Tamandua tetradactyla: one gene and its partners. The protein of the gene in region 1 interacts with the protein of each later gene in a biochemical or structural test. Links are inferred from orthologs where the notes say so. Each region holds a gene or a part of one and is shown in the gene's direction. Other genes may lie near its edges. The genes, in order: GNAQ, GRK2, RGS4 and RIC8A.

Region 1 (7,739 bases):
GCCACTTTATTCCTTGTGCCAGAAAGCTTTGCACAGAACAGCTCTTTCTCAGCTCTTGTAAGATCTGCAATGCTTCAGGCAGAATTCTAATTGGTCTTTGGGGTGATCATTGGGTGCCCACTCATACTCCTTCGAGTTGCTTTGAATGGTGGCTTTGAATGGTCCTTCTGGACTCTTCTAGCAATCCTTTCTCTGTACTGTGGGGTAGCAGCGGCTGTTGCTCATGTTTTGTTGATCCTTTTATACATGTGACTGCCCAAATAGACTATTAAGCCTTTAAGGGCTGTGGATGCCTCAGGCACCTGGCCATTTGCAAGCGTGTTTGTCGTTAATATAGTTGATGGCACTCTCTTATTTATTCAGCATTTACTGAGTGTCAGTTTTAGGCTAGGCAATTTTTTAGGTGCCCTGAAAACAGTTACGACAGACAAGGGCTCTGCTCTCAGGCAGCACCTAATCTTCTGGGGGAGAGATGCAATTACATTACAGTGTTGTGGGACATGCCATACATTGTCAGAGAGTCATGGATTATTCTATCGGCTTTTCCTTCCTTTTACAAGAAAGGGCTTTTCCCTTTTTGCTTCCAGGAACACTCCTTGAGATATCAAACGACGTTTTTACCGTTGTTTCCCCCCCCCAGTACCCAAAAGAAATTGTGGGCTAGGTATCTGTCTCAGGATACCACAGAAGACGTGACAGTCTTCACATTTTTGTAGAGTTGCCTCTGAATTTCAATGCTCCCAGGGTTTTTGTACTTTGCTTTTCAGCCATCTAGTACTTGCCCTTGCATTCTTAAAATGGTTTATTATCTCACTGTCTGTTTGGGGTGAGTTGCTGATTGGTTGTTATGGGGGTGTAGATATATATTTATTGAAACCCTGTTTATTCTCAAATGCCACATTTCCTGTAGTTATCTTGAGTTCTACACAGAATGAATGTTTTTTCTTTTTTTATACATTTGTATTGTTACTTCTACCCCTACCTTAATACAAATTGATTTTATTGTAGTAATTCAGAGTCTCATTATACCTTGAGACCATAAGCCTCTAGAGGGCCAGAGCAGCATTTTATTCATCATAGTCTCTCTTCCTGCACCTTCACCTTGGTTATTTCTAAATAGTCGGCACTGAGTTAGTTTGTTGACTCAGCAACCTGGAATTTTGCAATATTTTGTAATTTTGTAATATGGTGTGGTAGCTTGAGTTACGTACCCCGGATTAATTTGATTACATTTTTTTTCTTTTTTTTTTAGCATGGCAGGCTCCTGGAATCAAACCCGGGTCTCTGACATGGCAGGCAAGAATTCTGCCACTGAGCCACTGTTGCACTGCCCTGTGTACCCGGATTTAGACATGTGCTTGGTCTTAATCCGCCTTCCTGTGGGTGTGCATCCACAATGAATAGAACATCTTGAAGATGTTCTTTTTGGTTAAGGTGTGGCTCAACTGAATGAGGCTGGGTCTTAAACTGGATTACCGGAATACTCTATAGACTGAAGAAATTCAAACATAGGAGCTGGAAGCTGGAAGTCAGTCAACAGAACTGGGAAGGGAGAGGAGAGGACATCAACATGTGATAGGAAAACCAAGGGACTCACGATTGCCTGCCAGCCAGAATGCTACCAACTGAAACTGAGAACCAATAAAGTCCTGTTTTTAAGCCAATTCATTGTGTGGTATTTGTCGTAGCAGCTGGGAAACTAAGGTACTTGGTTAGTTGCATATTTTTAAATGTCTAGAACACGATCAACAACTTGAGTAGTTCCTGCATGAATTTTGTTTGTTTGATGTAGGTCTTATCAATGCTTGCTTGATGAATGCTTCCCATATATACATATAAAGGTTTCTGGGTAGGTCTGGGTTAGTACATAGAATTTTCTTGTCTTACTTTCTTCTTGCCATCCATATATGGCTCCATCCCTACAGAGTATTGTATACCTTATTTCCTGATTTCTTCCCAACATATGAAAAAATATGTTTTTATTGATTTTTTGTATCCATTCCAATATTTATTGGGTGCCAGGGAGTGGGGATATAGGGGTGACAAAACAGACTTTGATTCTACAATCTGTTACAAGTTTAATTCTTTTAATCAAATAGATCAATTCAGTCTAAATGGATTGCCTGATAGCTTGATAGCACAGTTTGAGAGACATTTTCAAAAGCCTCACATGGATCCATGGGTAGGAAACCAGAGAATTGAGGCCTCCTGTCATTTGTTTTTCTGTCTCTCTGAAACTTGTGTATATACATATTTTAGAGGATGCAAACTCATAGTTAAGTTTCCCCCAGAGGTATTCTAAACTTTTGCATGTTAAATTTTAATCTTTAATTTCATTAGTCACCTAATTTAAAATGTTAATTTCATATCAAGTTGTAAGCTTTCACATAAAAGGTGTGAGGTTTGTCTTCTCTGCTCTCCTGGCCATGGTGAACATTAATCATTTTCTAGGCTGAATATCTTTTTATGAAGGGAACCTACAATATCAGATCTTATATCTTTATGACTTGTTTGATCTGAGTCCTCGCTGAGAAAGAGAGAGAAGGGGACAAGGGATGGGCTGTAGCAAATGAAGGAAGGAAATCACATACCTATCATCCAAAAACCCTATGTGCATTCTTGACTTGCGGCACTAGCACAGTCAAAACTTTACACTCTGGATGAGCAAGTTCCACCAGAAACATCTCAGAGAAAATATGAAATTTGAAAAAGACATTCCCTTCCTAAGATGTAGTTTACTCTCAAGATGTCAGGTTCCATCACAGCTGGAAGTAATATAGGTGTCATCTCTTGTAGCCACTAGAACTAAACGCTTCAGCAAGGAGATTTTGTTCTTGCTGCCATTTATCGGTAGTGTATCACAACGAAAGATGCAAACGACATTTTCAAGTGCCTTAATCAAAAGTGGGAAAAAAATAACCTAGAATGGGATTTTGCTGGGTCGGTGTTTGTTTCCCCATTTTCTATTTTATTCTTTCCTTTTCATTTATTCAATGTGCATAGAATGCACGCGCAATAGAACCTCTGTCTAGGGGAATAAAGTAAGTTTGATTACTTGGCTGTTACACATCCTGAGCCTTTTCAAAACAAAAGGAGAACTTGTAAAATATAAAAGCCAGAAACAACCTCAATTGCATGAAAAGTTGGAGGCCATCAGGAAACTCTTGGGCAGCTTCATTTTCTCGGCTCTGGATTTAGATTTGTATCTGCAGTGACTTTGTGGACGGTTTCGCCTATTAATGATCTCCTTAACCCCTCTGGGAGCCAGTGACAATTCCTTCTCTTCTCCACCCCACAATCAAGAGTATCTTATTTTCTAAGACTGAACTCGGGTCAGAGGTGACGCGAGATATTTTCTAACCGAATGGCGTTTTAGAACGTTTAGGAACGGGAAAGAATGCATATGTGGTTGAAGAGCTGCTCCGCCGAGCAGAAAGACGCTGCCTGAGAGCCGTGGGCGCGAGCGCCTCCGCCGCCCGCGGGGTAGCCAGGCAGGGTGTCCGCGGCGCCAGCCTGTTCAGTGAGTTCGCGGGTCTAAATCCTGCCACTTCCAGGAGGGGCTGAGGCCGCGTACCCAGGCTGGTGGGCCGAAAGGCAGCCAGAGGCAGCCATATTCCCGCTTTACCACGCCCGGGCGGCCAGCCGGGCAGCTGCAGGTCGGCGGCCGCCCGAGCCGCAGCAGCGGATACCCGTTGGGGCGGCGCGTCGGCGAGCGCGGGCGACCGGGTCCCCGCCCCAACCTCCGCTCTGGGCGGCCGGAACCGCTGCGCCCGCGGGCCCCGCCGAGGGCGCGGGAGCGGAAGGCGACCGCAGAGCCCGAGGGGGCCGGCCCGGCGCGGGGAGCGGCGCGGGCGAGGCGAGAGCCGCACTGGGAGGCGCGTCGCGGCGGCAGCGAGCCCAGGAAAGCCTTCCAAGAGGGGCCGGGCGGCACCGCCTCCCGACTCCCCTCCTCCCGCGTCCATTCCCTCCCTCCCTCACTCCCTCCCCCTCCGCCTCCTCCTACTGCCGCCTCCCTCCCGGATCTGTGCTCCAGTTCAGAGAAAGAAGAAAATGTGTGTGTGTGGCGAGGGGGAGGGCGAGCACTGAGCAGCCGCTCCGCGCCTGGCAATCGGGGCCGGGGCTGGGCGTCTGGCGGAGGCGGAGTGCGCGGCGGTCGGGCGGGCCGGCGAGCGGTGTTTGCGCGCGAGCCGGGCGGTGGGCGCGGGCAGGGCCGAGGGCGCCCGGGAGCCGTGTCAGGCGGCGGCGAGGAGCGGGCGTGCTGGGCGAAGGGAGCCGTCGGCGGCCGCTCGCTGCGGGGACGCCCCGGTGGATGAGCTCTAGCCGCCGGGTGCAGGGCTTAGAGGACCTTCGGCTGCTCGGGGGGCGAGGCGGGTTGCCGGTTCCCGGGGAAGGAGGCGCGGGCGTCTGAGCGAGGCCGGGCGCGGCGGCCTTCCCTCGCGCGCCCCCCGAGCCAGTGCCTGCGACCGCCTCCCGCGCCCGCCTCGCTCCTCCCGCGGCCGAGGCGGCCGATCCGGGCTGCCAGCTCCCGCCGCGCCCCCGGCCCACCTGGTGGCCCCGGCCCTGGCCGCGGCTTCCGCGGAGGCTCCCCGAGCTCGTCCCGGACGCGCGCCCGGGCGGCGGGGGCTCGGCGGCCACCGCTGTCTCGGGGGGGCGAGGGCGGGAGGGTGTGTGTGCGTGCGTGTGAGCAGGGGGTGCCGGCGGGGCTGCAGCGGAGGCACTTTGGAAGAATGACTCTGGAGTCCATCATGGCGTGCTGCCTGAGCGAGGAGGCCAAGGAAGCCCGGCGGATCAACGACGAGATCGAGCGGCAGCTCCGCAGGGACAAGCGGGACGCCCGCCGGGAGCTCAAGCTGTTGCTGCTCGGTGAGTACGGCTCGGGGTCAACCGCCCGGTGCTCTCCACCTGGGGCCTCGCGCCCCGGGTCCGCCGCCCCCGGCCTGTCGGGGCAGCTGCTTTCTTCGGCCCCCGCCCCTGGGCGCCCGCGGCGCGCCCCCGGCCAAAACCCGCACCCGCACCCTGAGCGGGTGCGCGTGCGCGTGCCCACAGACACACACACACACACACACACACACACCACACACGCGCACATGCACACACACACACACGCACGCACGGGCATGGGTCAGGGCTGCCCTGCCCGGTGTCTCGGCGTGTGCCTTTTCGTATCCCCGAGGGCTGTGCATTCGGGGTGCGGGTTTGACTGCTGTGCATTTGTTTAGTGGAAAATCACTTCCCGGCGGAGCGCGGGGGTGGGAAGGTGGGCAGAGGGATTGAACTTCCAGTGTCGTGGCCTTGGTTCTCCTTGGGTGGTGAAGTGAGGAGCTGCATGTGTGAGACCCCGAGGGTGGCGAGCGGATTCAGGACACTCTGAGAGATGGAGTGCGGTGGGATGGTCTGTGTTTCTATTACCAGCGTATGCCGGGGTCAGAACTGAATGGTGGAGTGGTGGGCAGACGCGCGACTGGATTCTCCAAGGAGTGATGTTGAGGGAGCCCAGCAGTGGGCCAGCTAAAGAAAGAGGGCTGATGTATTGGCTAGGGGTCGGGTGGGGGGTGGGGCAAGCCCAAAGGTTGAATTGTTCTCTAGCCACCAGGCCACAGAATGGGGAGACCCCAGAAGAGTTTCTTGGCCATCAGATGGTGACAAGCGCCTTTCTTGTCTGCACCATTCCTTCCGGATAAAGATGAAGGATAAGGGAGCGTTGTACTGTGTGGTTGTTGACAGCGATGGATATCTTTTGTTTAATAAGGCAAACCCAAATGTAGGCCTGAATTCACAATAGTTACTGCTGAAAACCAGTGCAGCCTCCCAGTTATTCTCATGGAAGCAAAGAACAACCTTTTGTTTGTTGAAAACGGACAGCAATTTTAATATCTTTGAAATCTGGGTTGGAAGGGAAAATGGGAAGCATAGGGCAAAAATTTCTCTTTAATCTTTGAAAAAAGAACTGACCATTCTGCTTTAACATTAAGTTAGCGAGAAAATGCCATTTCTCAAAGAGGAATTCTATTGATTATTATCTCTGAGAGAATGTTCAGAATCAAGTCATCAGGGTTCACATACAAGCCACCCTGTCATACTTCTGAGGTATTGTGGAAGGAAGAGCAAACAGCTTTGCAGTTACAGGCCTGAGAAATGCTTCCACTTGTGTTCTGCATACTTGTGTGTATAATACATACGTTTCTCAAATATTTTCTGTAAGAAAAGAAAATTGTATCGTCAGTGAGGGTTTGAGAAGCAGGCATTTTCTTTCTTATCTTGAGCTGTATCTCCTGGTTAAAGGAAACAATTGCCTTTGGGACAGAACTGCTTATGTCCTGGATCATTTGCAAGAAGGAACAAAGTATAATGATCACATATAATTATCAATGGTTAATTCACGTGCCATGGCTTTTTGTCTTCATTTGAAACCCAATTAGATAAATGAGTACGTGTGTATTAAAAACAGAAGGCAAAGCACTGGTTGAAAGAGGTAGGCTTAAGGCAATGAAGCCGGGGTGGAAGATGTAGATTTTTTTTCTTCTTTTTTTGATCCTCTCATTTGGGTTACTTCTAATGGCTGAAAATGGTCTGAATTCCCAAGATGAGGAGAAAATAGAGGGAGCAAGAGGACTTTATAGTGCTTAAGTGCATCATTAAGGGAAAAAAAGTGTTTTAGTGTGATTTGTTTAAAGAATTGTTTTTCTTTGTATTTTGTCTGTTTACAGTTTTATTTGCTTTTGTTTGGCTGTAAATGGGGTGTTTGAGGTCTTTCAAGGCAGCCCTGTTGCCTGAAATGTGGCAGCCTTGGGTTTTGCAGCAGCTGAGGGTTAGAGACCTGGGGGTTTTGTCAAAGGGTCTAGGTTTGAATGGCTAGAAGGAAGACTTCAGGGGAAATGAACACATATGGATGGTCAGTTACATACTGTTTATTTAAATAACCAACTGTGCTTTAAAAATTAACTTGGAGATAATTTGCCAAGGAATAAGAATTAAAGAAAAACAGGTTTACTGCTATGGTGGTGGTAGTATGGATAACTTTTTTTTCCTATTAGATATTTGAGAAGGGTTTCATACAGTCTCCTGCTTTCCTCAAATATGGCCTGTTAGAAGTGGTAGAAAAATATATTAATTTAGAGCCCACTTGCATTAGTTAGATTTAAAAATTATACAGCTTGCTATCAGAAACGTGATTCGAAGACATCATGTAAGAATTGCTACAGCTTCATGTTCTAAATATGTTGCTTTGGTGACAACTGCTGCAATACTTACACTATATATATAGTCATACTATCACTAAATGTAGATTTGTTCATGTGTATGGGTGTGTGAATTCCTGATTTTCTGGGCCTTGCAGGGAAATGATGGTTGATTTCTGGAACAAGGAGAGGTGCAGGGAGGGCTTCCTTTTACTCCTGATGTCTGGTGATGATGAGTGAACTTTGTGTTCTGACTCCTTCATTCATTTAAATAGTACTTATTAGGAGAAGGTTATGGCCTTTCACAGTTTAAAAATTTACTAATATTTTAAACCTAATTTATTTAAATTAAGGAATTACCCATGTATGGAAATTTCAGCATAAAACTTTTTAAAGTAAATTTTATTTCAAAGCATGATGCCATTTTAATGAATTTGTTTGGCATGGATAGAAATGCATTTATTTACATAATTAGTTTATTTTTGTAAATTAATAATATTGAGAAATTAGAAAAGGAAACTCACGATTACCTACCTAGATGATATCTGGCAGTAAAATTTG
Region 2 (7,061 bases), on another chromosome or scaffold:
CCTTCTCTGTAAGGTACATCGGAGTCTTCGTGTATTTAGGAACACTAGACAGCACTTCAGCGCTACGCTGGGGGGGCCATTTTAAACAGCAAAATCACCAACAAAAGAGCAACCCCCCAAAATGCGCAAAAAACATGGCACTAAATATATCATGAAAAACACACTTGTTTAGCAGCATGAGAACTGAAATGACAAGTCCAAGAGTCAAGGTGTTCAACCTCAGCTGGAAATTTTCGTCTGCTCTGGACGTGTCTGTGAATGACCGCCAAAGCGCTGCCAATATCAATTCGGGGGAACAGAGTCATTTTCGCCAGTTGGTGAATTTGCAACTACAGAATCCGTGAATAATGGATAAGACTGTATATGATTAGGGGCCTTCTTTCCCATCAGACTGGGCCAACGCTGAGTCCGATTTCCCCCTGCAGCCCTCGCGTTGTGCCAGGAGCCATGCTGGGTATGAGGGACACAGCCGTGACGGCAGGGACGCCAAGGAAACCTTTCAGCCAATGAGACAGCAGAGTGAGCAGGAGCCCACCTCGCCAGAAAGTGAGAGGTGATGGGGACTTGGACTGGGCTTTAGCAGGGCGCTGTCAAAGGATTCAGGGTACATTTTGGAGACAGTCACAGCAGGTAGCTGACAGGTCAGTCTGGACTACAGCGTATGCGTGTGGGGGTGGGGTGGGGAAGGGGACAGAAATATACTGAGGACGACTCCTGGGTTTTTGGAAGATGAAAGAGCCATGACTGAGATGGGGGTGCGGGAGAGAAGCAGGGTGGGCAGGGGGTTGGTTGGCGGTGGCGAGAGCTCAGTGTGGGATGTTTCACTTGCAGCACCTGTTAGTCACCCAGGGTGGGTGCCAAGTAATAAAGCGTCTATGCGTCTGCCACCCAGGCAGAGATGGAGGGTGGTCCATGGCTCTTGGCACTGCCAGCCTCCCAGCCACAGCCTGGCCCCGTCTGGGAACCGGATGAGGGTTTGTTGCAAGAAGGAATGCCTGGAGTCTGACACCCAGGCAAGTCTACCTGCCGACCTACCCAGAACCACCAGAGGGCAGCACTGCCCCCCAAACCAGGCTCCGGTCCCCACCTCTACCCGGGCCGGGCAGTCACACCAACTTCTCCCACTTTTCTGGGTCCCGGGAATCAATGAGGCTAGGGGTATGGGCTGGGCCAAGGGCGGGAGGGGTTGTCAGGGTTTTATGAGGTGGCGGGGGGTGGGGAGAGGGCAGGACCAGCTCCCGGGGCAGGATGGCTGGCAAACTCAGAACCCACAGGCAGAACCTGTTCTGACAAGTTTATCAAGCAGAATCTCTCAAATAGGGGCTGCCCAGAAAACCCAAGGAGTCAGGGGGTGGGGGAGAGTTAGGGGCCCCCTGCTGTGCACCTTGGCCCGGGTGCTGCCTCCGTCTCCATGTGTCACCTCGGGCTAGGGAGTTCACGCACTTGGTCACTCATTCTTTCATCCAATATTGACTGATGGCCTTTCTGTTATGGGTGCCAAACTAGGCCTAGGGGGGAAGAGATGAACCCCGAGCGTTGATTACAGTGAGATTTACCTTTATATTTTCATGCTTGAGCATTTCCTATGTCAGGATGTGTTCTCCAGTGATGCGAACGTTCCATAAAGCCCCACCCCTCACTGTCAGTGGTGCACCTTACAACTGATGATGTTTTCAAATCAAGGAAATAGGGTGGTGAGTGCAGAATCAGGGATGGACACAGTTGGGGTTAGGGCATCATGGAAGGCTGCGTGGAGGAGGTGGGTCTTGAAGGACAAGCAGGAGTTATAACGTCAGGAAAGAAGGCACAAAGAAGGGCTTCCAGGCATAGGGCGTGCAGGTGAAAACTGATTAGCAGTCTGCTTGGGGTAACCTTAGGTGCAGAGGATGGTGGCAAAACGAGCAGTAGTGGGACATGAGGGCAGGGCCCAGCCATCCAAGACTCAACTCAACCTGATCTGCTTTTGGGCTTAAGTGGGTCCCCCACTCCCAGCAGCTCCCAAAGTCCTAGAGAGCTGCATCTTCATGCTTAATAAGTGGTGACCCAGGAGCTCTAGATTTGGGACTGGCAATTGTGGTTAGGCCCTGCATCAGGGCAGCAACCCCCAAGGAGTGGACTGGTGGTCCGAGAGGATTTTCAGGAGGCCAGCCCAGGATGGCGTGGTGATAAATTAGAGTAGGGAAAGGTGAGAGAAGAGGGAGGGGTTGGGATGATACCTGCAGTTCTGACTTGGGTGTGTATCTGCAGGGACGGCGGTGCCACCCAGTGAGAAGGGGAGCTCACCTCCCTGACACACTCAGTTCTAGGCTCTGCCAGGACTGGTCTGCGCTCCCTAGCCAGAGGGGCTTACTCCTTCTCCAAGAAGCCCATGAGGGTGGGATCCTTGCTTTGCAAGTGCATCCTTCCTGGTGGCTGGCCCACCAACTGCCATGGGGATCGAACCTGCTGCCAAAGGAAGTGGGGAGGAGATCCAGAGTGGGGTATGTTGAGATTCTGTGTGTGTGTGTGTGTGTGCGCATTGCCTAGAGACACACAGATTTAAGCCACCTGCTTGGGTGGGCTCTCAGCAGGGTGGGCTTCCTCTGCCAGGTAGTACTGAGACCCCTGTGCCCTCCCAGGCTGGGGGGGGGAGATCTGATCCCACGTTGTGGAATCATCGCGAATGGGATGGGATGCAGGGAGGGAAGCTGACCCAAGTGTGCAGGTCAGGGGCCTGGGTCTGGGGTGGGCTGGGGCTGGTTTGTGTGCAGGGTCCGTGGTCCTGAGTGGGAGTCCTGCAGCCAGGTCTGGAGAAAGAGGGGTGGGGAGTGGAGTCTGGGGCAGTTGTCAGGTCCAGGTGCTGGGACCTGGTGACCCTATAAGGGTTCTTCATCCAGTCTTGGTCCAGGGTGGGGTGCCCTGGCCTTGGGCTATATGTCCAGCATCCTGGGTGGCAGGTCCAGGACTCAAGTCCAGGTCTGGGCCCTGACCCCGAGTGTGGGGATCAGGGTCAAGGGAGCGCTCTGGGTCTGGGGATGTGACCAGCGTCTGAAGTCAAGGTCCAAAGTCTGGATCTGGGGTCCTGTTGGCGCGCTGGGGTCACGATTGTGTCCAGATCTGGGGTCCGTGTCGTGGTCCTGGTGTGGAGTCAGGGTCCCGGGTTGTGATCTGGGTCAAGGTCTCATGATCAAGCTCTGGATCTGGGGTCCTGTTGGCGTTCTGGGGTCAGATCGTGGACGGGGATCGGAAGTGGGAGTCTGGGGTCTTGATCGGAACAGCTCTGGCCTCAGGACTGAGGTTTGACCGTGGAGTCCCGGGGTCCGGCGTTGGGATCCGAGTTGAATTTAGGGTCCTCTTCGGATCCCGAACCTCTTCGGTTCCAGGTCGGGGCTCGAGGGTGGAGATCCGCGGGCAACCGGCGGGCGGCCGCTGGGATCCGGGATCGTGCCCCCAAGTCTGGGTCGGGGTCCCGGCTCCGCGGGCAGGGCCGGGCGGCCCGCGCGGCCTCCAGGGGGCGTCCCCGGCCGCCCGCGCCGCCCGCCCGCCCGGCTCGGCCCCTCGCGGGCTCGCTGGCGCTGCGCGCGGCAGGCGGGGCCGGAGGCGGCGGCGGCGGCGGCGGCGGCTCCGGGGCGCGGGCGGGCGGCGGCGCCCGGACTGCAGTCCCGGCGGGAGCGGACGGGAGCCGGGCCCGGGCCCGAGCTGGCGCCATGGGGCGGCGCCGCCTGTGAGCGGCGGCCGAGCGGAGCCGCGGGCGGCGGGCGGCGGGCGGGGCCGGGCGGGCGGGCGGGCGGCGGCGGCGCCCGAGGCCGAGCGGAGCGGCGGCCGGGCCGGGCCGAGCGCGCCGAGCGAGCGGGAGCGGGAGCGGCGGGAGGAGCAGCCGCCGCCGCCGCCAAGATGGCGGACCTGGAGGCGGTGCTGGCCGACGTGAGCTACCTGATGGCCATGGAGAAGAGCAAGGCCACGCCGGCCGCGCGCGCCAGCAAGAAGATCCTGCTGCCCGAGCCCAGGTGAGCCCGCCGGGCCCCGGCCCCGCAGCCCCGGCCCCCCCCAGCGCCGACCCCCCTGACCCCCCGCGGCCCCAGCGCCCCGGCTCCGGGCCCAGCACCTCACACGCGCCCCGGGTCGACCCCCAGGTCCCCGGAGCCCGGGACCCCAGGCCCTGTGCGCCTGAGCCCCGAGCGCCTCAACTCCAGGGCCCACCCCCCCCCCCCACTGCCCCACTCTGCCGGTCCCTCGGTCTGTCAGCCCTTCGCTCCTGCCCTCTGCCCCCACCCACCCCCAGAGCCCCATCACTCTCCCCCTTGTCCTCCTCGGAGCATCCCATGGTCCCCGTGGGGTCCCCTCCCCTCTGCGGGCCACCATTTACCTGGCCTGTTGATAGCCCCCATCCTTTGGCTGTCCCTACTCCCAGCTCCCTTCCACGCCTTGCAGGGGAGCTGGGTGCTCTCCCCCCCACCCCCCCACACCCCAGTCTCTACTTGAGTGAAGTTGGAGGGAGACAGCCAGCCTCAGGGCAGCTTCTCAGGACCCTTCCTTGCTCCTGCTGCGGGATCACTGTCTTGGGGCTGGGTTTGGTGTGGTGGGCTGGGGGCACCGTGGGGCACGCGCCCTGCCCAGGTGGGTCGTTTACCAGGGGCCAGCCCCGCACCTCTGCCGCACCTGGGCCACAGATGCCACCCCTCTGTGAGACAGCTCGTGTCATCGTGCCTGGTATCAAAGTTTAAGGCTGTTCAGGATGTAGGCGCCGAAGCGTACAGGATGCAGAGGGTAGCTGTGGCTGCCCCGGTGCTTGGTGGCTTACGGACCATTTCCCCGTTGCTGGAGCCCCACAGCAGTCCCCCGGGGTGGGTAGGACACCTGTCCGGTGCCACACACGTTACCCAGTGTGCAATCGGGGTCCCCCCATCAGGGCCCCTGGCGTCTTGTTATAGGTTCTGCCACCAGGCTGGCCTCAGCCAGGGCCTGGATGTTCTGCTCCTGCAAGAGCTGTGTGCCCCCCAACCAGTCCTCGTGTCACGGGGTGAGGCCGGTCCCCTCTATATATCTCCCTCTGTGCAGAGGTGGCCTCTGTGGCCCCAGCCGGACTCTGGGCCCACCCCTGGCTGCCCCGGCCTCATCGTGTGATTTTAGGGAAGTCCCTTCCTGACTTTGGGCTTCAGTTTTCTCATCTGCAAAATGTGGAAGGTGTGAAGTGAAGGCTGTGGCTCTGCAGTGTCCTGAGGCTTCGAGGCACCTAGCTCAGCCTCTGCTAGTGTACCTCCCCAGGGGGGGTTTCAGATTGACTGAATACCAAGCCTGGGAGAGGAAAATTTGTCTGCATTTTGGGCCACCCACCCCCCCTTTTTTTTTTTTTGCTAAGACGTTTGCAATCAGATTTCTCAAAACAGGAACCAGAACTGACTGTCAGCTAGGGCCTGTCCAGGGAGAAGAGACAGTTAGAACAAAAATGAGTTCAGAAATGACGAAGCCATGAGGGAGGAAGTGGGGGGCTCAGGGTGTGCTCAGCCTCTAGGGCTCACATCGTCTCTTCTTGGTGGTAGTAGCCTGAGACCCTCCTGCAGGTTGGAGTTCTGAGAAGTATGGGGTGGGGCCTTTTCTGGAACTCTCTGCGTTTGGGTAATCTCTCCCCAGAGTGCACTGCTCCTGGCGGGGCCCCGCCTTGGGTCGGCGGTGCAGGTGTTAGAACCCTGAGAAACGAGACGTTCCTCTTTTCCTGTCTCCTTTGTCGCCCGTGGTAGTGATGGTGCTGATAGGAATGATGGTGGAACTTATCCTAGCTTATTATTTATTTTGACACCTGTCATCTCAGTTGATCCAAAAAGCAAAGCTGTGAAGTTGGCCAGACCATGCCAGGCATGGAGTAGTTGCTCAAGAAACATCAGAAGACCACGCTATCTCCTCCTGAGTGGGAATAAGGTGGGCTGTGTTAGGGCACAGGCAGGAGTCTGAGAGCAAGGTGGCATGGCCCGAGTATAGGGTCACCGTCTGGCAGCATGGTTTGGGCAAACCACCTGTATCTGTGACTGGGGCTCCAGGCTCCAGTGCTGAATGCCAGCGTCCTAAAGCCCAGGGAAGGGCTCTGCCTTGCACTGGTATACCTGGCAGCACAACGGGTGGTATTTTCCCCCCACTGAAAACTTGGAGAAACTGAGGCTTAAAGAGGGGAGGCTCAGAGCTTTGAACTCCCAGGCCAGTGCTCTTTCCCTGCTATGCCTCATCCTCTCTGCCCACCTCCAGCTGCCTCTGCGCACAGTTTAGTGGAATGTGCTGGCTGGCACCCATTGTCCGGACAGCCATGGGTCTGGGTCACTGGCCTGGAAGCAGCGGGACAGTTCCCAGTGCCGTCAGCTGTCACAGCTCACAGGCCCCAGCCCCCTCTCTATCGGCTGGGGCTGCAAACAGAGCTGCCCTGGGAAAGCTAGTGCTTGGAGGAGGTAGCTCGAGCCCAGAACTCCCATCCGACCCAGGGGCCTGTCTAACCCCACGCTCACAAGGTCAGAGTCAGGGGAGAGACCACGGTTTGTCCCAATGACAAGCTGCCATTTGGCACCACCTCGGGGTGGCTCATCCTGGCACCCTCCTTGTGGCTGGTCCCTGACTCTCTGACTGCTGAGGGCCAGGGGACAGGAGCTGTTGGGCACGGTGCCACTTTGAGTTGGCATGGAGACCTCCTCTTCTATCACCCTTTAGAACTCAAGGATTCAGACCCATTTCTCGTTGTGTCGCTGGAAGACAGGGGTCCTGGCTTCTAAACCACCTTCAATGCCAGTTCACAAGGGGCTCGGGGAAGCTCGCTTATCCTCTCTGGGCCTCCCTTGGTTTCTACCTTTGTGAAATGGGGGGCTGCCTGTGCACAGTGATACCCCTTTCAGCCCCAGGGTCCCTAGTTCTGGGCCTCCCTGTGCGCCATCTGCTCTCTCCCCAGCGGCCGATGGGAGCGGACCTATAATTACCATCTTTCACTTAATGTGACCACTGAGGCCTCCCGTAATTACTCTCTTGGCTCCTGGCTGAGGAGCCCTGCCTGGGGCAGTCCCAGGAGATGCCCCGTCCCCTCCCCTGTGACAGTGGCAGCCCCAGCA
Region 3 (7,214 bases), on another chromosome or scaffold:
TTACAAGTGTTGGAGAGGTTGCACAGAAATAGGAACACTCATTCATTGACAGTGGCATTGTAAAACAGTATACTTACTGGGAAGACCATTGGGCAGTTCCTCAGAAAGTTAAGTAGAGAATCACCAGATGACCCAGTAGTCCCATTTCTAGGTATATATCAAAAAGAATTGAAAGGAGGGATTTGAAAACTTTCACACCAATTTCATAGTAGCATTATTCACAACTGCTAGAAGATGGAAGCAACCCAAGTGTCCATCAATGGATTAATGGATAAACGAAATGTGGTATATGCACAAAATGGAATACTGTTCAGCTGTAAAGAGAAATGAAGCTGTGATTCATGCTCCAACATAGATGAACCTTGAAGACATCATGAAATAAGGCAGACACAACAGGGAAAATATTGTATGATCTCACCGATACGGAATAATTAGAATAAGCAAACTTTATAGAGTCAGAATGTAGAATACAAGTTACCAGGTATGCTAGTTTCCAAGCTGTTGGAATGTGATATACCAGAACTGGAATGGCTTTTAAAAAAGGAATTTGGTAAGTTACAAATTTATAGTTCTAAGCCTATGAAAATGTCCAAACTAAGGCATCCAGGGAAAGAAACCTTAATTCAAGAAAGACTGATGTATATGGAACACCACTGTCAGCTGGGTAGTCACGTGGCTGGCATCTGCCAGTCTCTTGTTCCTGGGCTCCATTGCTTTCAGTCTCTGTTCCTGGTAGGGGGAAGGGTTCCTCACTTTGCTTCTCCAGGGCTGACTTTCATCTCTTGGTTTCCCTTGGCTCCCTCTAGGTTCTGGTTTGCCTAACATCTCCTGGTGATGTCTGCTGGTCTCCAAGCATCGCCAAACATCCATGTCTCTGTTCTCCAAGTGCTGGCATCTGATTCAGCTCTCTTTTTCTGTCAACTTTGTCATTTTTGTTGACTCTGTCATTTCTGTGGGCTCTTTCTCTTTTGGCTCAGGCTACTGTCATTTCTGGTTCTCTCCAAACTGTGTCCTCTTTTAAAGAATTCCAGTACACTAATCAAGATCCACCTGGAGTGGATGGAGTCACATCTCCATCTAATCAGTGGTCATTTGGGTATATCATGCCTCCATGGAGATAATCTAATCAAAAGAGTCTAGCCTACAGTATTGAATCATGATTCAAAGAAGTGATGACCTCTAAAAGATTGAATCAGGGTTGAAACATGGCTTTTCTAGAGTACATAATACTTTCAAACCAGGGCACCAGGGAGAGGTTGGGAAGTTAGGGCTTAAAATGTACAGGGTTCCTATTTAGAATAATGAGAATGTTTTGGTAATGGATGGTGGCGATGGTAGCAGAACGACGTGAATATAATCAACAGCACTGAAAACCGTATCTGAATATAGTTAAAAGGGGAAATGTTAGGTTGTATATATAAATATTTATAAAATAAATTTTTTTAAAAAATCCATGGAACTATACTATACAAACAGTCCTAAATTAAGCCATCGTTAATAATACAATTATAAACATTGCTTTCATCAATTGTAACAAAATGTTTCACACTAATGCAGGGTGTTAATAATAAGGTGATGCATGGCAAGCCGGTACTTTGCAAATGATTTCTCTATAAATTCACAAATTCTCTCATAAAGAAAATAATAAAGTGAATGAATATGGAAAGTCCAAACAAAAAGTGATGTCTAGTGGAAAACCAGAGTGGTAAGATCTGCAGTGACTTCTGCTTCTGTTGAACAAGAGAAAACTTGGTAGATGGATACAAAATTAATATTAGGGTTTTTATTTGTTGTGTATAATCTATTAATAAAAATTTGCATAGAATTTTATTGTTTAGGAATCCTCAGATTACAGAGTATATCTCCTTTTTTGATCAGACTCTTGGGTGATAGGATAGAAAAGTCTACATAACCTACTGTCAAGAAAACTGGGGTTATTGCATCCCATTGGACCAGCAGCAGGATTTTCCCCTAAAGAAGAAATTAGGAAAGACCCAACCAGGACTTCTCCAAACCTCCCTCCAGTTGAGATTCCAGAGAAAGAGATACTAAAAACACCAAATCATCAGTCCAAAAGCATTTATTAGGGGAACTTTCATACAGAGAGCTGCAGCTACCACACAACGGACAGTGAGACAGTCAAATGCTCACTGGAGTATATCCATGCTTATGGACACAGTTCTATAGATTATATATAGTTGAGGAACAAAGGTAGCTAAATGCCAGGGACTAATGTGCAAATATTGGGAGAATGTGCTCTTTTCTCAAAACAAGATGTGTTTAAGGTAGTTTGAACTCAATGTTATAGCAGCCAAAGCTTGGTATGCTTCCAGGGTGTTACAGGAAGGGATGTCTGAGGCAGAGGGAAAGAGGGAGGTCAAGCCTTGGTCAGGTAGGAGATGCTATATCTGTCATACAGGGGTTCAGTTTAACTCTGTAAGTGGGAGGCTTGGCTTTGGCAAATGACTTCCCATCTCTGAGCCTCTATTTCTTCTTTGGCAAACCAAACATATTAAATTAGATCATCTTGAAAGCCCCATTCAACTCATCTAGAGTTGTTCATGACAAATCAGGCCTCTGTTTGGTTTAGATCCAAGATATAAAATTCTTAACTGTGGGGCAGTGCAACAGGTGGCTCAGTGGCAGAATTCTCGCTTGCCATGCCAGAGACCTGAGTTGGATTCCCAGAGCCTGCCCATGCCAAAAATAAAGAAAGAAAGAAAGAAAAATTCTTATTGTGGCATTTGAAGCATCATTAAAACTTTTGAAGGGTCCTTCTCCGTGTTCCTAAAATCACATTATTTGAATAATCATTCTTTCAGGTGCATGTTTAACCAAAGAAAATCTTTGGATGACCTCCTCTCCTTTTTAATTAGTCTTTCTGCTTTGGTGCCAATTTTAACTGACTCGTCTCCCAGGGTCAACCTTCCTTGGCCTGTTGACTTCTATCATTTCACGTTACACATGCAGTCCCTTACACAACACTATCAAAGACAGCTGTCAGCTTCATCAAGAAATTTCATTTATCGTACGATCAATAATCAACTTGCTTTTAAAATGTAAGCCGTCCTAATCAGGCATAGCAATTAATTTCCTCCTTCTAATCATAGCTTTGCCTAGAACAAGAAGTTCTGGCATGGGTGTTTCAGCTAAGACTATATAATGTGAAACACTTTTATGATTCCTTGAAGCATTTAGTCCATCATTGTATGTGGAGCGTACTAATCATCCAGTTACTCAGAAGCACTGTAGGATCAGATATTTGTATATTCATCTGAAGCCTGGTGATATACAAGACAAACTCCATATTTTGATGCTTCCTCTCTCTCCTCTGTCTTTCTATTAGAAATATTATTTTGGAGACCTAGAATCACGTAAGACATAACCCCATTTTCAAAAAAAAAATGGGTGTTTTTATTTAACCATGGTACTCTTCCTGTGGTTCTTATGCTGTTTTTTATTTCCCCTAGCTTTTTCTAGGAGGCATCATGTTTAGGAGAGATGGTCAGTTTTAGCCTGAATTCTGTTTTCAGTAAGATTTCAAGAAAAGTATTCCATAGTCAGGCTGATTACAAATGCAATTAATTCGTTTTCCCCAGACTAGTTATTTTCTGTGCTGCCAGGTAACCCTGCCAAGCAGCTACTCCCCATCCATATCCCTGTTTGCATGTGACAACTAAGAATGCAACTTCTGCAAATCACTGCCTGGAGACAGATGATCCTGCCAGTTCCTTTTTGGGATTACTGAAGATCAGATCTTGGATCATGCATGATGTGAGATTTCTAATCCAAAAGAGGAAGTGTATTGGGAGTCTGCTCCAAATAAATCCCACAGACTCCCGCTGGCACCTTCCTTCCTGGGGTCAGCTTTCCTTTGACATTGTTTTTACAGGCAAGTGAATAAACTCCGTGTTTTGCAGCATCGTGCCTCTTTTTCTTCTCCTTTTCTAAAAATTCAAAACCTCAGACATTGGCTGATACACTGGGTAAATTGTTGTCTTCTGTGCATCTACTTTGCGAGAGGATTTTCTGCGCTTTATTCATTTTGCTTTGTTGATGAGACAGCCCTTCCTTATCTCTCTCAGAGGCTGGAGGAGGCAGAGGGAGAGACAGAGAGAAATCGGTATTACACAGCTGCTATCCGATTGGCTGGAAACCGGGAGCTGGGCTATAAAAGAGACCCCTACAGGCTTGGGAGGGAGAAGCTCCGAAGATTCTGACAGCATCCTTACGGGAGAAAAGGCAAAGAGCACTCCAAACAGAAGTCACAGCTCCTCCTGCTGCGTTTCTTTTCTAGTCTTGTGAATCCCACGCTAAGCAAGATGTGCAAAGGACTTGCAGGTCTGCCAGCTTCCTGCTTGAAGAGGTAAGATGATTTTCAGCCACTGTGTTAAACTTTTGGATAGGTCTTCTCAGATTTTACATATCCTGCTCAGTGACCTGGTTCTTTGAGATTAGAAAGAATGTGGTCAGTAGAGCATCAACTTTCTACCTTCCTCCGAGTACTAGCTAGATATTGTGACTGAGAGGCACTCTCCCCAAAGTCCAGTACCTAGACGTTTTAAATGACATGTTTTGATTTTTATGCCAGTTCCTCTAGCCAAGTTAGCTCTAATTAAAAGGTGATATGAGGCTTTTGAACTACATAAAGTGGTCTGTAATATCTCTTCCTGAGACTATAGTTGCTATCTGGGCATTACTGGTGTATATACTATTGCAGCTCTGGACTTTCTGATATTGTTTCTGATTTTGTGTTGGGGAAGCTATCCCAGTATGAGGTTGGACTATATCCACAGAAGGGCATGATGCTTTCTGTACGATGCTGCAGTATCTTGTACTCTCTATGTTCCTATAAGTAAATGTTACAATAAAAAATGAGCTTTAAAACTAGACAACTTTATCTCCCTGCCTCCACCTCTAGCTCTTGAAATATCTTATGTGAATGGTGGCTGGGAGGAAGTATTGGTCCTAATAAAGCAATTTCAACTTAAAGAGAGTGTTTTATAAATGGACCATCTTGTGATTCAAAATTTAAAGATATGCAGCTACTCATCTGTCCATAGCTTTACTCTTAAAGGTTTGAATAAATGCATTCAGAAAATTCTCAAATATAAGCTAATAGGGAAAAAATGAGTACACATTACATTATTTAATCTTGCAATTAAAGGTGGAAAGTCAATTTCAAGGTATATCATTCCCTCCCCTGACCCTCTGCAATTAGAGGTCACCTTGAATTTCAAACAGGAAATAATCCCAGATAACCCAGTCTTTTGTGTGTTATTAAGTTTACCTTTCAAAAATTTTTACCTGTCACTCAGCGGTGTTAAAATATTTATTGTTTCTTTAAAATGAAGTGTGAGGTATTGACAGAGCGTACCTATGCATAAGTGCCTCTGACCTCCACCATTAATTTGAACGGAATAGAGCAAATTATTTCATGCTTCAGTTAACTCATAAATAAGATTAACCATTACAGAATACAGAATTTCACTCTGGTAAATATTTTGAAAGACAGATGAAAGATTGCACTAGAGAACTCTGCCCTCAAGATGCTAAGAAGCTAACCGGGCAAGGTGAACTTTATATCAGCAGGGTGAGCTAGGTACCACTTTCCTCGCTGGTGAAATGTAAACTGTCTGATCCAACACCTTCTTTCTAGCTTTAGTACCTGAGACTCCAGAGGGGACCTGAACTGCTCAAGGTCACATAGGTGGTGGGTGGCAGAGTGAGGACAACATCCAGGTTTCCTTATTCACGTGACCTCTGAGGTCATGTTGGTTTTTATCTTTATGGTTGTAGGTGGTATAGGGACAAGTAATTTACTTGCTAAGCATACTCCCAGCTCATCATGAAATGACCCCAATAAATGTTTGTTCGCGACAGAGTTAGCCACCTGGAAATGTGGACTGAATCACAAGATACTTATATTATCCAGTTGACCTTCATGATTTTATTATTTGTACAATTGTATCATATGTATGTATGTATAATATATATATACATATACACACATATGACTATACATAAATATATACATACATATACACACATATATGACTATGCATATATATGTATATACATATATATATACACACGCACATATACACATGCATGATTTAATGATCTTGCCAGTTAAGGAAGCAGAAGAGTGGAAGCAGTGTTGTGAGGGAGAGAAAATGCTATTTAAGGAACAATCCACGAACATAATGAAATTCAAAACTTTCTGGGAAAAACTCACATAGATAAACCACTAGTCTATCAGTAGCCATCCTAAATGTCTTTTCATCCTTGTGGCTTTACATTTCTCCCTCCGAGTAAGAGCATAGTGTCATTCATTTCTTTTAAAATGACATTTCACTTTTAATACTAATTTTTTAGCTTTTAGAACAAAAAAAGATACAAGCAAAAGAATAATTAATGCAGAGTGAGAATTTTCAACTGAAAGCTTCTTAAAAGGTCCTTCCTTTAGCCTAAGTAAGGAGCCTTGCTGTACCATAGGTATCTATTAAACATTGGCAATAGGCTAGAATCTCTGCAGCAATTAGCAGTTACCAGCTTCAGCAATGATACTTGTTTACTTTTCATGCCCTTTGTAGTATAAATATGCTTTGTAATGCAGATATTAAAAAGGAAAGCAGCAGCAGCAGTAGATTCTCCAGGGGCAAATCTGAAGAAGCTCAGGTTTTTACCATTTGAGACTGCAAGCTACCCTTTGCATTTATCGCCCCATGTTCCACTTCCCTCTGCCAGTATATAAATCCCTGCATATCCATAACACCAAATGCTTCGCCTACCACATGCATGGCTGTAACAGAACAGACAGCACCTTTCTGAGGAGCTCCTATATCCCTCACTTCCCGCAGTGAGGCAGATGGAAATAGCAACCACCCACCAGAAGGGGGCATGCAGCAAGAAGTGCCGCATTTTGCAGTAACCGATTGCTTCACAATTCCTATGAATTACCTAACGAACATCTGTGTTGCTTTTGAAGATCCCAAAGAGTTCCAACAGTCAAATGTGACAGGTCCATATAAGAGGTTCTTGAGATAGGATGAAGGGTCAGAATTCTAGTTACTAATGAAGAAGCCTGTATTAGGAGTCTGGCCTAAAGTGCCTTTTAAAAAGAGCTAGTTATCATTATTCGTTCTCTTTTTTCCTCTTCTGTGCAGTGCAAAAGATATGAAACATCGTCTAGGTTTCCTGTTGCAGAAGTC
Region 4 (8,002 bases), on another chromosome or scaffold:
CAGGAACAGCCTGGGGTGGGGGGGATGCAGAGCAGGGTTTGGACACGCTGTCCCCAGTGCCTGTGCCATCTAGGTGGCAGTGGACAGGTTCCCTGTGGTGCAAGCAGAGAGGCCAAAGCCCCAACACACAAGGACACTTGGAAACAAGAAAAAGCATCTGCAGAGCCTGTGGAGGAGGGAGGGGAGCTGGGAGTGACACATACCACAGCACACAATTTGGGAAAGCCTGAGATACGGAGATTAGTCCACACATGAGGACTCACTAGGTGAGGCAGAGTCAGAACAGAGTGCTCAGAAGTAAAAAGGTGGAATGACGCCTCTCCAGGACACTCAAAGTCCTAACCCTGAAGGAAAGGAAAGATGAGAGACAGCGTTAGGTGAGTGCTTGAACAGAGGAAAGGGGGGGCAAGGGGAAAGAGGCAGGAGGGAAGGGAGAGGAAGGGGGGGAGGGAGAGGAAGGAGAGAAAGGGGTGAAGATTATTAGAAGGATGGGGCCTGGGAAGTGAGTTCGCAGGGCTGAAGGCTGCATCGAGGCTGTGGGAGCTGACTGCAGCAGGCTATGGCAGACAGCCGGTTTAGGTTTCAGAGACAAAGCCTTCTAAGCTGGACAAACTCAGAAAGAGGCCTTGCAAGTGGGTGAACTGTGAGTCAGGGCCTCACAGAGTGGCCAGGAAGGCAGAAGATGAATCAGATAGGACAGGGGAGGGTCCCAAGCTCAATGGCTTGGTCTTAAAGGCATTGGGTCTGACCTGTCCAGGGTTGGTGTGATGGTGGAGAGAGTACGCAGTGGGAAATGAGGGCCCAGGGAGGGCGGTGGCTCAGAGATACATGCACTCAGGAGGAAGGGTCCCTCACAGTGGGAGGAAGGGCAGGGTTTGGTGGAAGAATAAGTTAACCACACATGGCTGGCAACCCCTACAGGTGACAGAGGCAGCAGTGTCCTGTGAAAAGCAGGTGGAAGGCCTCACCCATACTCAGCCACTCCTGGAGGTCTGGTCTCGTGGAACCCATCTGCAAGGCTGGGTAAATGCACACCCTGAGTGTGAATTCCTGCTCTGAACAAGCCCAGAAGCGCTTAGGGCTCAGAGCCTCTGTATCCACAGGCCCCAGGGTTTGGCTCCAGCTGCCCTCTGTCTACCCCAAGGAGGGAAATGAGCGTGAGCACAGAGGGTACTGGGGGAGGAGCTGGCCTGCATTGGTGTGACCTTGCCCAGGCAGCCTTGGCCAAGAGCAGCTGCTGTTGGAGAGGGTGGGCCAAAGAGATAGCGCTGTTTCAGGTTTGAAGGTAGAGTCACTTTTCATGCCAGCCTCATGCTGCACAAATCACACACATGGCCTTGCTCAGAGGAAACGGTAGAGGAACCTTGAGACGCCTGAGGGCTGGGAGAGGGGCTGCCAGCACAGTGCTATGTGTCTTCAGGCTCCAACCAGGGACTGGAGGACGCTGGGCCTCCTTTCCCCAGGGAAAGTGTCCCTTCCGTGGATGGGACCAGCCAACAGATGCTCATGTCCAGAACAGGAAGAAGACCTCTGACCCACAATCGTAAATTCAAAGGAATGTTGTAGGGAAGTGCTCCGGAGCCCAGGAGCCCAGGTGGGGCACAGGGTGGCCCTGGCTGGCCCCAGCACCCGCAGTGGCAGCTCGCCCACCCCCGCTCGCTCACGTCCGCGCCCTGGACAACAGGTAGGAGAGGATGAAGAAGGCCACAATCAGGGCCACAGCCACACTGCACAGAAGCTTCCGGTTGTCTCGCCCAGACCGTGCCATTGTGGAGAAGCGCTTCACACTCCCAGTGAGCAGACCCGTCATGCTCATGAAATCTGAGTCCTGAGGGAGGAATCCCAGTACTGTTACACGCGCTGGCACCTCCACACCCACCTCTGCTGGTGCCCAAGAACAGTGCCCGACCCCAGATGGTGTGGGCCCAAGCTCAGCAGGGCACCCTAGAGCTTCAAAGGCTCTTACCATGCCATCCAGGTACCGGTTCTGGTCTTCTGCATCCCTATCAATGTCCAGGGCAAGCTGGCCAGGGCACAGAGAGGGCAGGTTCAGGCCAGGCCAGACATGGGGCAGCACCCTTCCTCCCCCAGGACCAGCCAGAACAAACGCCACCCTCACCAAACACGAAGGTCAGAAAATGCCCCCCAGGCCTCAAGTAGCCAGCAAGGAGAATGGAAAGCAGCCTGGAGCCCCCCAAGCTGCACCCTCCTGGGGGTCCTGCTCCCAAGAGAAAGGAGACCGCCACAGACCGATTTGAGCCTGGTGACCTTGGAGGCCAGGTTGTCGGCCATCCGCTTGTTGTCCCGGTCCAGAATCTCCTCCACGACACCGGGGCTCTGAGCTGTAGAGACAGGCTGAAGTTGTGCATCCACCCATGAGCACAATCCCTGACCCTCAGACCACAGAAAGTTGGCCCTTTGTGGCCTCAACCCCATCTGCCTCAGTCTGAAGTCTGGGCAGGGGTGGGGGCTGGGTCTCCACCTGTAACCCGCTGGGCAGGGACAGGTTTGTGGCCCTTGTGTTTGTGCAACAGTAAACAACCACGTGGGAGCATGTCCCCTGTACACATGCAGGATGTGTGGCTTGCCCTCTGGGGTGTACCCCAACAGGTTCAGCCCATCCGGCACGCCAAGCCAGACAGGACTAATCCCAGGGAGGCAGTGAGACGCAGTACCTGCCTGCAGCAAGGTTACCATGCATGTACCTCCCGCCTGTCCTGGGGAGGGCCCAGGGAAGAGCACTAGCTCAAGGAGGACAGCCGCGAGGGCTGTGTGGGCGTAACCTGTGACCTGGTCCTGAAAAAGTAACCGATAACCAAGGGCAGGACATCGGGGAGGCCCTTCTATACGGAGAAAAGGAAGCGAGCAAAGTTCCCTAACCAAAATGTGGGCAGGGTCCAGCCCCGAGGGCAGGGCCTAGGTTTGCTCACCTATGTCCCCACAGCACCTCCCAGAACAACGAGGGCACGGTGCGAGACCCGCCCGGTAACTCCGGCCAACCCCATTCCCCGCTGCACACCCGAACTGGACCAGTGGCGTGAATGTATCACATTCGGTGGGTGAGACTCGCCCTCCACGGGGCCGATACCCTGAGAGTCCGAGGCCTTAGGAATCTCTGACTCGTACAGACCCGGAAGGAAGGGGCGGCTGCGGAAAGGCGCCCCGTTGTGCCAGGCATTGTGCCACGCACCCCGCCAACGCCTTCGCGTCCGTTCCCTCCTTCAGTCGTCACGACAGCCCAGGAGAGCGGGAGCGGCACCCGGCCGGACCCTCCCAGGCCTCCGGCGGCGAGGGGGGACGCAGCCACGTATCCTCGGCGGGGCGCTGACTGGGGGCTGTCCCCTCCCGCCGACGGGCGCCCGGGGTCGGATCCAACCCCGGCCCGTCCCGTCCCCCGGACCCCCGGCCCACCCCGCGCTCACCCCGAGCCCAGTCCGCCATCGCGTCCAGCGCCGCCGAGGACGTGGCGCGGGGTCGCGGGGTCACGGCGTCGCAGGGTCACGGGGAGGGACTTCCGGCCCCGCCCCTTCTGCCGCCGCGGGCGCGGAGGGACTGAGGAGTCCGACGTTTGTTTCATTGTCAGTGGACCCGGGACGACCTGGACCCCGCACTTGGGAGCCCTTGCGCCATTCGCTTTAACGTCGAAATGTCTTTTCTCTCGGTTATTCAGGCGAGGTTAGGTCCTAAGAAGTGGGAGGAGCGCCAGCGCCTTTGCCGGGGCGCGGTGTTGGCGCACGAGTTCGCCGCCCCACTCGGCCTCGAGTGACCTGGGGAATTTAACCTTCGTGCATTTTAGTTCCCGAGTCTGTAAGGCGGTTTCCTCGTTTGAACTTAGACCATTGCCTGGAACAAGTAAACCTGAATAAGTGCTTTAAAAATAAAATGCAGATAAGTAACAGTGAACCAAGGAAAAGGGTTTGGGGAAGGGGCAGCGGAGACAGTAGGAACCAGTGTTTCCTGCTTTTGAATCCTGGTACCAAGGGCCTGGCATGACAGATGTGTGATAAAAGAACAGAGAGGTGGGTGAGTAGTTTGTATTTATGAATTACTCACCGCTACGAGGTATCTTCTGTGTGTCAGTTACGAGTGCCTGTAATCCTCAGTGCAACCCCTTGAAGTGGACACTTTCCCCTCTGCTTTACAGAAGAGGACACGAACTCTGAGCTAGAGCGCGTTTCAGGGTTTCACAGCTCGGAAGTCGCTGCACTTACTCCGGCCCTGCGTTCACCCCCGACCTCTGCCAACCGAGCCGTTCCTTCTGCCTGGAGTGGCCTCCCCCAAGTCTTTTCACGGTCCCCTATCGTGAGCATCAGGTCTCATCAGAAGTAGCACTTCCCTAGAGCCTTCTGCCGACCCCCCGCAATTGGGGACAACAGCAGCCTGTTGTTTTTAAAACCACAACGCTTAGGACCACGCAGAGTCGTCTTGTCTGTCTTTCCTTGTCCGTCTTCCCCTCTGGAACCAGCTCCAGGACGGCAGGGTCTTCCTGACCCGCGTCCCCAGCGCCTCGCCTGCAGCAGGCGCTCCACGACGCCGGTTTAGTAAACCAAAGGCTCTGAGACCGCAAAGCCCTCTCCGCTGGCGCTTTCCTCCTCCATCCCACTCATTCTGTGGATAAAGATGGGGGGATCGGGAGAGTTCTCCTTTTGAAATTCCGGCCCAAGAAGCGCACGAGGGAGGGGTCACGGTTTGGCCAAGGGGTGACTTGGGCCCCAAGCCGGCGGGTCCCGGAGTCGGGGCTTCAACGCCAGCGCCGTTCCGGGTCCACCTTAAACCGCGCACCTTAAGCGGCGCGCGGCCTCGCCCCGCCCCCCGCGCGTGCCGGCCCCGCCCCGCCCCGTCCCGGCCTCCCCCGCGCGCCGGACGCGGGCTGCCCGAGGCAGGGCGGGGCCGCGCGCGGGCTGGACTCGGGCTGGACTTGGGCCCCGCCGCGGCGCGACGTCCCCCCTGGCTCGCGGCCGGAGCCTTCGGGCGTCCTGGGGGCGCCATGGAGCCCCGGGCGGTTGCCGACGCCGTGGAGACGGGGGAGGAGGACGTGATCGTGCAGGCTCTGCGGACCTACAACCGGGAGGTGAGCGCAGGCGGCGGACGTGGGACGTGCATGGGGCGGCGAGGGGCGCGGGACGGTGCCCGGGGTGCACGCGGCGGGGACAGGTGCGCGGCGGGGCGCGTGCAGGCCCCGCCTGGGTCAGGCAGCCCCCCCAGTGCGCGGCCCCGCCCTGTCCGGGGTCTGCGCTCCGAGAACCCTCCCGGTGTCTTTGCAGAACTCCCAGAGCTTCACGTTCGACGAGGCTCAGCTGGACGACAGGAAGGTGGGTGGCAGCGGTAAAGGGCAGGGGCCGGGGGTCCTAGGAGGCGCCGTGGGGAGGGTGTTGGGGCTCCGGGCAGCCGCCCTTTCATCTGCTCACAGAAACTGGCGGAGCTGCTCGTCTCGGCCCTGGAGCAGGGCTTGCCGCCCTCCCACCGCGTCACCTGGCTGCAGAGTGTCCGCATCTTGTCCCGGGACCGCAGCTGCCTGGACCGGTTCACCAGCCGCCAGAGCCTGCAGGCCCTGGCCCGCCATGCCGGCATCTCAGCCCCCGAGGGCTCCGCCCTCAAGGCCCCGGGTGCGGATATGGACGTCGTGCTGGAGTCCCTCAAGTGCCTGTGCAACCTTGTGCTCAGCAGCCCCTTGGCGCAGCAGCTGGCAGCCGAGGCCGGCGTGGTGGTGAGGCTCGCCGAGCGCGTGCGGCTCTCCCGGGAGAGGAGCGTCCCACATGATGTCCAGTTCTTTGACCTGCGGCTCCTCTTCCTGCTCACGGCTCTGCGCACCGACGTGCGCCAGCAGCTGTTTGAGGAGCTACAGGGGGTGCGCCTGCTGACTGACACGCTGGAGCTGACCCTCGGGGCAGACCCCGAAGACTGCGCCCCTGAGTGCCTCCCGCACCAGGAGACTGAGCGGGCCATGGAGGTCCTCAAGGTGCTTTTCAACATCACCTTTGACACCACCAAGAGGGAGGCAGACCAGGTGAGGCCCGAATCCTAGGCCCCGCGACATGCCAGGAACCTAAACGGATCTGGCGTCAGGCATAGAGAGGTTAGGGGAGGCCAAGGAGGGGCTCCCTCCCAGGAGAGAGGCATCTGAGGGAGATAGCTGTTCCTGGGTCTGGAGGTCCAGGTGCCACAGGGTGTGTGGTGTGATGGCAGGCTGAAGGAAACAGCCACTGCAGAACCGTGGGTGTGGACATCTGCAGCCACAGAGTCTTCAGGAAAATGGCACTGGTCGGTCAGCCTCACCACCCAGCAGGGTCGTTTAGGAGAGTACAAAGGCAGCTGTGTGGCAGTCAGAGCCACTGGTTCTCTGGACCTGCAGCCTTGTGTTGGAGGAGGGGCAGGGTGGTAGAGCATGCCTTCAGCTGGCAGCAGCCGCCTTCAGGGATCTGCTCTTCTCTCTGGTCAGGACACTGCCCTTTACCGACACCTGGGCACCCTTCTGCGGCGCTGTGTGATGGTGGCTGCTGCTGGAGACCGGACTGAGGAGTTCCAGGGGTGAGGGCAAGGCTCTGGGCTGGGAGCTGTGTGTGGGGTGGGGGGAGCTCTGTACTTGGCCATGTCTGGCTGGGAGGGGGCCTGTTGTGGGATTGGGGTGCTTCTCAGTCTTGGGTATAAATAAGAACCACCTGGGAGCCCCATTTCCCTTCTTGGAGTCTGAGTTCGCTCCTCTGATGGGACTAGCAAAGTTATTCATAACACCCAAGACCAAAAGCTGTCAGTCTGGCAGAAGGGCATGCCAGCCTGGACCTTGGTGTCAGCAGATCAAGATTGTCACTTGCCGCCATTCTCCATGACCTACTTCCCAGAGAATGTCCATGGCGTGAGGCAGCCAGCCCAGACAGAGGGGTGGGACAGGCAGGGCTTCTCCTGCTTAGCAGGAACAGGGGACCTGGCTGGTGCTGCCCTCTGGCCCCCTGACACTGGCTCACATCGCATGTGGCCCAGCAGGGCAGGCACCTGCCCACCCTCACCTGCACCCCGGTCTGCAGCCACACAGTCAATCTCCTGGGGAATCTGCCTCTCAAGTGTCTGGACGTCCTGCTCCCCCCGGGGCTGCACGAGGGCTCCCTCGAGTTCATGGGAGTGAACATGGATGTGGTTCGTGTGCTCCTGGGCTTCCTGGAGAAGCGCCTGGACCAGGTGGGTAGGCGACCGCGGGACCCTGGCCTTTCTGTGCCGCGGCTCCGTCGTGGTCCTCCCCGCAAAGCTTGCACACCCTTCCTCTTGAAGCCTTCTGTTCTGATGACTGCAAGGATGCAGATGGCAAAACAGCCTGTTTTCAGAGTCTCACGAGTACTCGTACTTGTGCTTTAGACCTTTGGGGCGATACCTTGGGAGCTCCTGGGAAGGCCCCAGTCCCTGCTTGAGTTCCTCAGACTTGTAGATTCGCTGTGTACAGGCAGCTAACCCATCCATGGCTCCTACTTACAAACATCAGTGTCCTTGGCTGCCGTCTCCCACCTCTCCCCAGTATCCCTGGAACCACAGGAATCTCTGGGCAGGCCTGACAGGTCGAGTCCCTGCTGCAGATGAGGATGGGCACATCCTCATCCCACCCCCTGCATGGCACATGGCACTGGAACAGGTGCCCTTTGTCCTTGCTGCTACGGCTGCTGGTTTGTGGCCAGAGAAGTGACTGGAGGTACTGGGAGGAAAGGGAGTTTTGCTGTCTGTCAACAAAGCCCATAGCTCTGAGGCACCCCTGGCCAAGGGGCGAGTGGAAAAGCTCTTCCTCGGTCTGAAACATCTCAGGAACTGCCTTCTTCCTGTTTTCTATTTATAAATAAAGCATTTAAATGACTGTTTGAAATCAACTAAGACATTACTTTAAAAAAATGAGAAAAATCAGGAACATAGATGTTTTCATAAAAGATTAAAAATCCACATGAAGGGCAATGCAGATCCTTTGGGCAGCAGAGTAGTTAGTGTCTGGCCGAGAGGTGCATCCGCGTGTCCCTGGGGATCACAG

The links.
Region 2: the proteins of GNAQ (region 1) and GRK2 form a complex in vitro, tested with the Homo sapiens proteins (3 studies listed by BioGRID). The link is inferred for Tamandua tetradactyla from reciprocal best matches to the Homo sapiens genes GNAQ and GRK2.
Region 3: the proteins of GNAQ (region 1) and RGS4 form a complex in vitro, tested with the Homo sapiens proteins (3 studies listed by BioGRID). The link is inferred for Tamandua tetradactyla from reciprocal best matches to the Homo sapiens genes GNAQ and RGS4.
Region 4: the proteins of GNAQ (region 1) and RIC8A form a complex in vitro, tested with the Homo sapiens proteins (2 studies listed by BioGRID). The link is inferred for Tamandua tetradactyla from reciprocal best matches to the Homo sapiens genes GNAQ and RIC8A.

What each region holds. Positions count from the first base shown.
Region 1 is NC_135328.1:108,702,257-108,709,995, reverse strand, and holds the start of GNAQ (guanine nucleotide-binding protein G(q) subunit alpha), read left to right. Parts: upstream 1-4,648; 5' UTR 4,649-4,727; coding exon 4,728-4,863; intron 4,864-7,739.
Region 2 is NC_135335.1:7,144,715-7,151,775, reverse strand, and holds the start of GRK2 (beta-adrenergic receptor kinase 1), read left to right. Parts: upstream 1-3,841; 5' UTR 3,842-3,873; coding exon 3,874-3,986; intron 3,987-4,619; exon of another isoform or gene 4,620-4,999; intron 5,000-7,061. UniProt on the Homo sapiens protein: Specifically phosphorylates the agonist-occupied form of the beta-adrenergic and closely related receptors, probably inducing a desensitization of them. Key regulator of LPAR1 signaling.
Region 3 is NC_135330.1:16,333,606-16,340,819, forward strand, and holds the start of RGS4 (regulator of G-protein signaling 4), read left to right. Parts: upstream 1-4,187; 5' UTR 4,188-4,322; coding exon 4,323-4,366; intron 4,367-7,169; coding exon 7,170-7,214. UniProt on the Homo sapiens protein: Inhibits signal transduction by increasing the GTPase activity of G protein alpha subunits thereby driving them into their inactive GDP-bound form. Activity on G(z)-alpha is inhibited by phosphorylation of the G-protein.
Region 4 is NC_135335.1:32,946-40,947, forward strand, and holds the start of RIC8A (chaperone Ric-8A), read left to right. Parts: upstream 1-4,888; 5' UTR 4,889-4,987; coding exon 4,988-5,071; intron 5,072-5,264; coding exon 5,265-5,312; intron 5,313-5,410; coding exon 5,411-6,007; intron 6,008-6,439; coding exon 6,440-6,528; intron 6,529-7,022; coding exon 7,023-7,173; intron 7,174-8,002. Other genes in the region: BET1L (BET1-like protein), read right to left, coding at 1,661-1,828, 1,967-2,023, 2,251-2,342, 3,423-3,441.